Linked DNA regions of Sus scrofa. The protein of the gene in region 1 interacts with the protein of each later gene in a pairwise test. Links are inferred from orthologs where the notes say so. Each region holds a gene or a part of one and is shown in the gene's direction. Other genes may lie near its edges.

Evidence for each region. The genes of interacting proteins can lie anywhere in the genome.
Region 2: the proteins of DMC1 (region 1) and KCTD17 interact in binary tests that used the Homo sapiens proteins (3 or more experiments, as listed by UniProt). The two-hybrid records come from large-scale screens. The link is inferred for Sus scrofa from reciprocal best matches to the Homo sapiens genes DMC1 and KCTD17.

Annotation. Positions count from the first base shown.
Region 1 is NC_010447.5:9,429,762-9,434,035, forward strand, and holds the start of DMC1 (meiotic recombination protein DMC1/LIM15 homolog), read left to right. Parts: upstream 1-1,474; 5' UTR 1,475-1,613; intron 1,614-3,296; 5' UTR 3,297-3,297; coding exon 3,298-3,348; intron 3,349-3,939; coding exon 3,940-3,984; intron 3,985-4,274. UniProt on the Homo sapiens protein: Participates in meiotic recombination, specifically in homologous strand assimilation, which is required for the resolution of meiotic double-strand breaks.
Region 2 is NC_010447.5:10,708,967-10,712,466, reverse strand, and holds part of KCTD17 (BTB/POZ domain-containing protein KCTD17), read left to right. Parts: intron 1-1,056; coding exon 1,057-1,182; intron 1,183-2,527; coding exon 2,528-2,624; intron 2,625-2,799; coding exon 2,800-3,155; coding exon of another isoform or gene 3,156-3,321; 3' UTR 3,322-3,500. UniProt on the Homo sapiens protein: Substrate-adapter for CUL3-RING ubiquitin ligase complexes which mediates the ubiquitination and subsequent proteasomal degradation of TCHP, a protein involved in ciliogenesis down-regulation.

The DNA of each region.
Region 1 (4,274 bases):
TACCATCTCCAAACAAGATTTTTATCCTTACTTCATGAGTTTGTCATTACCAAGCTCATTTCAGTTTCTTTAAGTGTACTGCACACAACCTTCAAATATTATGAACATTTCTCTCTCCCAGCTGTCACTACACCAAACTACATATGTTATATTTCCCTAAATCATCTTGTTGTGCTCTTTGCAGCTCTTCCGTACAGTTGATGTCTCCATCTAACAAGTTGCTCAGAAGTTACTATAATTATTTTAGGTGAGGCCCAAAGTGAAAGCCTACCATCGACTATACAGTTCATCTCAAAAATTGACATTAATTTCTATTTAAGCAAGACCAGGCTGTGTTTCTGGAAAATAACAGATTTTGAAGAACTATGGCAGTTATTTGTTGGGTCTTTAAACAATCCACGTGGGGGGCAGAGGAAATGTCCTACAAAATGCCAACTGCTATTGTGGGAATTTTTGGCTATTTATTCCAGCAAAATATGATTCAGACACTGAATGAAAAGGGTCACCCTGTACTAGGTCTTGAACCCAAAGAACTGTTTGCACAGATAGTCATCCAAGATACATCACAGCCTCCACCTCAACAGATGCTCTTTCAAATGTTTCATGACTCTCTTCAACAGTCAGTCTCCATTTAAGGGGAGGAGGGTTGATGCTGCCAGAGACGGCTCTGCTGGCATGAAGGCTGGCCTAAAATTTCTATTTAAAAGCTGGACCAAAATATGTTTGGCTTCTGTTGTCTATTTAAAATTTCAAGTTAAAAGGAAGAAAAATTACTCTCCGTCCTGAATGGGCTTTGGGTGTCTCACTCACAGACTAGAGAATGGCAAACGGTAAGAGAGTCACGGAGAAGGGAGAGAAATTAGGAACGCTGAGATATTAGGAACAAACTATGAAGGCAGACATGAAAAACTTGGAATGAAAAGAAAAGCCTTAAGCAGGGGGAAAAGACCCCCATATTCGGCTCCTAACGGAGGATCTGGATTAAGGTAAGCATTCTGCACGTCATGAGTCACCACATCAGCCACCTCCCCTCAGCACCCCTCCCCCGCCTCACGGTCGTCCACCTCTTGCCCCCTTTCCAGCGGCCTCTCTTCATCTCAGAACACGCGCCACCCAAGGGCCTCCTTTCTCAGAGGATCCTGTCTTCACCTCAGCGTCCACCTCAGGAGCCCCCAATTTTGACCCATGTCCTGGGTGCCCCCACCTCAGAGTCCTCTCTTGACCTCAGCATCTCCCTCCGCTCTGGAGACGCCCCAGCCTCCCTTCCCACCAAAGCCCCTCTCCTCAGCACACACTCTCCCCCTCAGCGCCCCCTTCCTCATCCCAGCGCGCGACACGCCCCGGAGAGTCCGTTCGCCGCTCCCAGTACCTTCGCCTCCCCCGGACGCTCCTGCCGCCCCGCCCCCCGTCCTCTGCCCCGCCCAGATCCCCGCCCCTCCGTCCTGGCCCCGCCCACGCCAGGCGCGCGCCCAAACTAGTCGTTGGGCACCGAACCTCTTGGTCAACGGGGCTGCGAGGCGCCGCGTTCTGCTTCGGAGTCAGAATCCCTGAGGACTGGAAGGCCCGGGACGGGGGCGGAAGGGATTCATTCACCTTGAAAAGGGAGATTGTGGGTACGAGTCGGGTTTGTGGCAAAAGGGGAAGGTGGGTGAAGAATCTGAGGGGAAACTCAGGGGGTCCCTTCTTTAGTCATGCTTGGTGGTGGTTGGAGGCTCCACTTTGTGCGTCCCGCCCCCACCCCTGGGGGTATATCTCAGTGCCCTTGAGTGATTACCAGCATCCTTATTTTAAACCAAGTAGGACCTAAGTTGGGGAGGGGCCTCCTCAGACTCCTTATGAGGGAGTTAGGTGTTGGAAAAACGGGTGGCGGCAGGGGAGGCGACCTGGACCGCGCTTCCACGCCCGAAGCCGAGGCGACTGGGAGCCCTACTCTAGATCCAACTGCTCTCAACGTCCATTGCTATTTGAGAAAGATGAAGAGCAGCTTTTTTCAAGGCTAAAGAAAGGACAGTCAATGTGGAATTTGGGGGCAATCATATATATACATATATATAAGCAATCTGAGTGAGGGGCCGTATTCCAGAAAATTCCATTTACACCGTCTCCTCTTTTGCCTCGAATACTTTGCTGTTCAGAGGTACTAGGTGGTAACGACCATACCTCAACCTTAGTAATTTGTTCCCCTTCTGCTGGGCCCCAACCCCTGACTTCCGCGTTTTGTGAGAAAATGGAATAGACCAAGAAAAGTGATTACTTGGACTACGTTTTCTAATAAACAGGATCATGCTTTTTAGATTCCTGAGATCTTAAAACCGCTGCTCCAGTGTTAACTCAAAGATTGTTCATCTGCTTATTGGCCCTAATATTTTATCATATTATGATACTGAGTATTCACCATAATTTAAATCTTTACAAAAATCATGAAAGTAGTAAATACTATAGAACAAAATACATCCATTGTTTTATGAAAGAAAAATACACATGTTGCAAGAGAGCTCATTCATAATTCTCAAGCAGGAAGAGATGAAAAAATATCTATCTGTTGAAGAGAGACTAAGTTCTAGGTGCCGGGGAAGATATAGGAAGACTGACTTAAGGCCAAAGGTTTTTTTTTTGTTTGTTTGTTTGTTTTCTTTTTAGGGCCAAACCTGTGGCATAGATAAGTGCCCAGGCTAAAGGTCAAATTGGAGCTACAGCTGCCAGCCTATGCCACAACCACAGCAATGCCAGATCCTAGCCATGTCTGAGACCTACCTCGTAGCAACATTGGATCTTTAACCCACTGGGCAAGGCCGGGGATCGAACCCAAATCCTTATGGCTACTAGTTGGTTTTTTCACCCACCGAGCCACAACAGGAGATCCAGGCTAAAGTTCTTAGAGTGTTGTTAACATGAACATGAAAGAATAAAAATACGGAGTTCTAATATTCTAATTCTAATATTTCTACTGCCAATAACATTCCAAGACAACAAAGAGATATTATCAGTTATAATTGTGCTGTGGGAAATCAAAAGATGATACAAAGTGGCCAATTTTGAGGAAAGAGGAGAGAAACAATGTCCCTCCACCCTCACATATGCACACCCATTAAAAGAAATAATACCAGATGCCTAGCAGAAAGGATATAGGCTAGCCAGTCATTTCAAACTAAATGTTTTTCTATTTGTCCTTCTGGTCCTTAATAACTGAATTGAAATCAAGAAAGTCTATGGGCAAAGGGTTTTGTACTATGACTACTTCTTAATATTTTTTTATTTTCCCAAAATTGATTATTTTTTTGCTGTTCTCCTTTCAGTATGAAGGAGGATCAAGTTGTGCTGGAAGAACCAGGATTCCAAGATGAAGAAGTATGGCTAGAATGTTGAAAGACATGTAGACATTTAGTCATTCTACAAAAATGAAGTTCCTTCTCTGTTAACTACTATTTTTAGAAACAGATTAGCAATAAAACATAGTTCTGGAGAGAGGCAATATTACAAATATGTAACAACTTGTTTGGCAAGGGGTGCTAAGATTAGCTACTTAGCAGCTGGTGTGAAAGTATTTTAATAATTTAGCAATTGGTATGGCCATACTGGTTCCTATGCAAACTGGTAGTGAGGAGTAGAAGGAGTTCAAGGTCTGGTGGGGAAGACTGAGAAAACATATTTTAAAATAGATTAAATGTTGTTCCACTCTTTTGGGTTAAGGTCTTAAAAATTTGGAGAGGGCATAATAAAAGTATTGAGCTTCCCAGTGCTTTCAGTGTTAGCACTTCTATGTATGCAACAATGTGTTTGAAAAATCATTATTGAGCCTACCTCAGTCTGTCTAGAGAAGTGGAATTTGAAGCATCTTGGAGTGACTCATAATTCTGAATTAACTCTTAAAAATATTTGTGAAACGGTTGAATATGAAGAATAAAAACTTTTTTTTTTTCCCTGTTCCATCTTCGTTAGGAATCTTTGTTTCAAGACATCGACCTGTTACAAAAACATGGGATTGTAAGTATTTCTTCAGTGCTGTGTGAAATTGTCCATTTTAGGGTTTCTCAGCCTTGACTCTATTGGCATTTGGGACTTGACAGTTCTTTGTTGTGGGGGGGCTGCCTTGTGCATTGTAGGGTGTTTAGCACTCTGGCTCCTAACCACTCATGATATGCTAGTAGCAGCCTCATAGTTGTGACAACCCAAAAATTCTCCAAACATTGTCATGTCCCCAGGGAACAAAATTGTCCCCCGTTGAGAACTAGTGGTCCACTTGGAGGTGTTCAGAGCTATCAACTGTTTCCATC
Region 2 (3,500 bases), about 1.3 Mb from region 1:
CAGGGGGCCACTGGCCTAAGGAACGGGCAACCTGTTCTACCTCTCTTTCCAAGAGTGAACAGAATAGGAGTTCCTGTCATGGCTCAGTGGTTCACGAATCTGACTAGGAGCCATGAGGTTGCAGCTTCGATCCCTGGCCTTGCTCAGTGGGTTAAGGATCTGCTGTTGTCATGAGCTGTGGTGTAGGTCGCAGACACGGCTCCGATCCCGTGTTGCTATGGCTGTGGTGTAGGCCGGCAGCTGCAGCTCCGATTAGACCCCTAGCCTGGGAACCTCCATATGCCACGGGAGCAGCCCTAGAAAAGGCAAAAAGACAAAAAAAAAAAAAAAAAGAGTGAACAGAGTATTCTCTGGGGCCCCATCCCCAGGTCATGCCGACCTCATCCTGTAACCTGGGCCTGGGGCTGCTTCAGCCACGTCTGGGACAGGGGCACAGTCTGCCCTGTATGAGCCTCTGCCTGCTTTTGTTTTATTTTATTTTTGCTTTTTAGGGCTGCACTTGCAGCATATGGAAGTTCCCAGGCTAGGGATCCAATCAGAGCTGCACCTGCCGATCTACACCACAGCCACAGCAACACAGGATTCGAGCCACGTCTGTAACCTGCACCACAGCTCAAGGCAGTGCCGGATCCTTAACCCGCTGAGCGAGGCCAGGGATCAAACCCGCATCCTCCTGGACATGAGTCCGGTTCACAGCCTGCTAAGCCACAGCAGGAACTCCCTTTTTTGCCTCTTTGTGCCTGCTTTTAGAAAGTGGCCCGATAGAGCTGGGAGTAGGCTGGGTGGGGGAGGAACAGCAACGATGACCGCCTTCCTCTAAGGATCAGGCCCAGCCAAGCCACTCGGGGAGGCTGGCCCTCGAAATAGACCAGAGGCTTAGGTGGGGGAGGGGAGAGGACTGAGACTTTGGGCCCAAGTGCCCTCTGGAAACCCAGGGATGGGCCTGAATAGAACAGCAAGATCAGGGCACCACTTGTGTCCTGACAAGTGCCAGTGTCCACCTGCCCCCGCCCCCCCACTCTACCTGTCACTTTCTCCCCACGCTCCCCCCTCCAGCTGGTGAACATCGGCTCCTCCTACAACTACGGCAGCGAGGACCAGGCAGAGTTCCTGTGCGTGGTGTCCAAGGAGCTCTACAGTTCCCCACACGGGCTGAGTTCCGAGTCCAGCCGCAAAACCAAGGTGAGCGGCCCCCACCCTTACCTCCCTCCCCTCACGCCCTCCACCCCCCGCCCCCTGCCCGGCCATCCCTGCTGCTTCGTTCTCCCTCCCGCTGCCCACGCATCCCCTTTCCCTCCCTCGGTCACAGTCAATGCCATCCATCCCATGCCACCCATGGTCCTGTCTGCTCACCCCAGTCACCCAGGCCCAGGCTAGGGGGGCAGGGAGATGGGTCATCCCCAGGGTGCAGTGAGAGTGGACTTAGATGCCACTTGAACAGCGGGCTGGCAGTGGCCATGGGGTGGTGCAGCACAGGGGGTGTGCCCTGAACTAGGGGGCTGGGCTCGAGCCCCCTGGGAGACCTTGGACGATTCCGACCCCCTCTGGACACCTTGGCTGGGCTCTCAGAGAAGTGAGAGGGAGGGACCACGTGCTCTCTGTGATGCTGTCCAGCTTGGAACTTCCGGGATTCGAAGAGAATGTATTTCCCAGGGGCCTGGGCCGTGGGGAGTCTGTTCATCCTGTCCCTCCCCCAGGCTCCTGCCCGGGCTCTGCCGAAGAGGGGTCAGGAGCCCTGGGGGCTCCAGATCTCTGTTTCTGGCCAGTGAGGGACATCGGCTGGCTCGGGGGAGGGGCTGAGCAGAGGTCCTGCCACCCTGGACCCAGAGCTGGTCAGAAGCCTCCAGGGCCCTATGGTAGGACCGGTGGAGCAGGCAGCAAGCCAGGCTGGGAAGAAGGGAGAACATTCCTTCCTTCTAGAAGCCTGTCCCTGTGTGGTGGAGATGTAGGAACTCCAGCTTCCCGTCTGTCTGCCTCCCTGTGCTGTGACCTCCCCTGCCCGCCTCGCCCCCATTGGGCTATGGCTGGCACGGCCTTGCAAGGGTGCAGGGTGAGCCTGCTGCTTCTGCTTCTCTGGGAGAGACCTCGGGACCCGGGGTGCCAGAGGCTGTGGCTGGCATCTCAGATGGGGCCGGTGGCTGCCCTGAGCCCTCCCTGGCCGCATGCCTACTCTGGGTCGGACCTCCTAAAATGAGGCCTTCCCAGGCACCCCTCAAGGACGCCGCACCCACTCATCCCCGCCTCTCTCCCGTGCCCCAGCCTTGCTCGCATCCCAGCAGCCAGGCTGATCTGCGAGCATCTTCAGCAGGACCCCACCCTCGGCTGGTTTCCCCAGACCCTTCCCAGGCGTCCCCCGGGGACCGGGACAAGATGCCCCAGCTTCTGTGGCCGTAGCGCTCCCCCTCCCCCGGAGGCCCCCCTTCGCCTTGCCCTGAGATGGGGGCCCGCGGGGACAGCCGCCAGCAGGCCCTGGCCCCCTGGTTAGTTCTGCGCTCTTTCTTCCCTGGGTCCGCCGGCTGGTTCACAGAGCGCGGAGGAGCCGCTGGAGGAGGAGCAGCAGCAGGAGGAGGAGGTGGAGGTGGAGGTGGCAGAGGTGCAGGTGGAGGCAGATACACAGGAGAAAGGTGCAGCCAACCCCCCAGGAGAATGATTGCTAATAAAAGCCGGAGCCTCCCGCCCGAGCTGGAGCCAGCTGCAGACCCGGGGCCCTGGGACGGCGGGGGGGGCGGCCCACCAGGGTTAGCGCAGCCCTGGCGCCTCTCCTGCATAACCATCCCTTCTCTCACTTTCTCTTTGCAGCCCAGTCATCTCAGGATCCCGCTAACCTTTTCTCCCTCCCACCACCGCCTCCTCCTCCTCCGCTTCCCGCTGGAGCTCCTGCCTCATCTTCATCCACCTCCTCTTCCTCCTGGATCTCATCTACACCCTGCCTCTTCCCTCTCTGCCCCTGTCCGGGCTTCCTCTCTGCCTGCTCGCGCCTCCATCCCGGGGCTGCCCTGGTCCCAGCCTCCTGCGCCCTCCACCCGGGCGCCCTGGCCCTGCATTCCAGAGCGTCCTGCCTGCCGCCTCCTGCTCCCCTGCTGGCACCTCCTGCCTCCAGGCCCGGGGAGGAGGGGTGCGGCTGTACCTCATCGGCGTCCGCCGGGCACGTCTGAGGCTGGTCCCCCTGCTCCGTGGCCGCCCTGTCCTCTCCTCCTCACCTTTCCTCCTTGCAGGTTCCCGTCCGCACGCCCTCAGACCTGAGGCTGCGCTTCTTGCAGCGAGGGCTCCTCCTGGGCCCCCTCCTGGGCCCCTCGCCCGCCCCCAGAGCTGCCTTTCCTGGTTTGTAGCTTTGGCAGAGCTGGAGGGAGGGGTGGAAGCCCGGACGGTGCTCATCTCCTGTTCCTTGGACTTGAGCTGAACTTCCGGCTGATTTTCTCCTCCTCTCACCAAAGTTTCTCGGCCTCTCTGGGCCTTGGGTATGAGGCTCTGAGACACGACCAAAGGGAGAGGAGATTCTT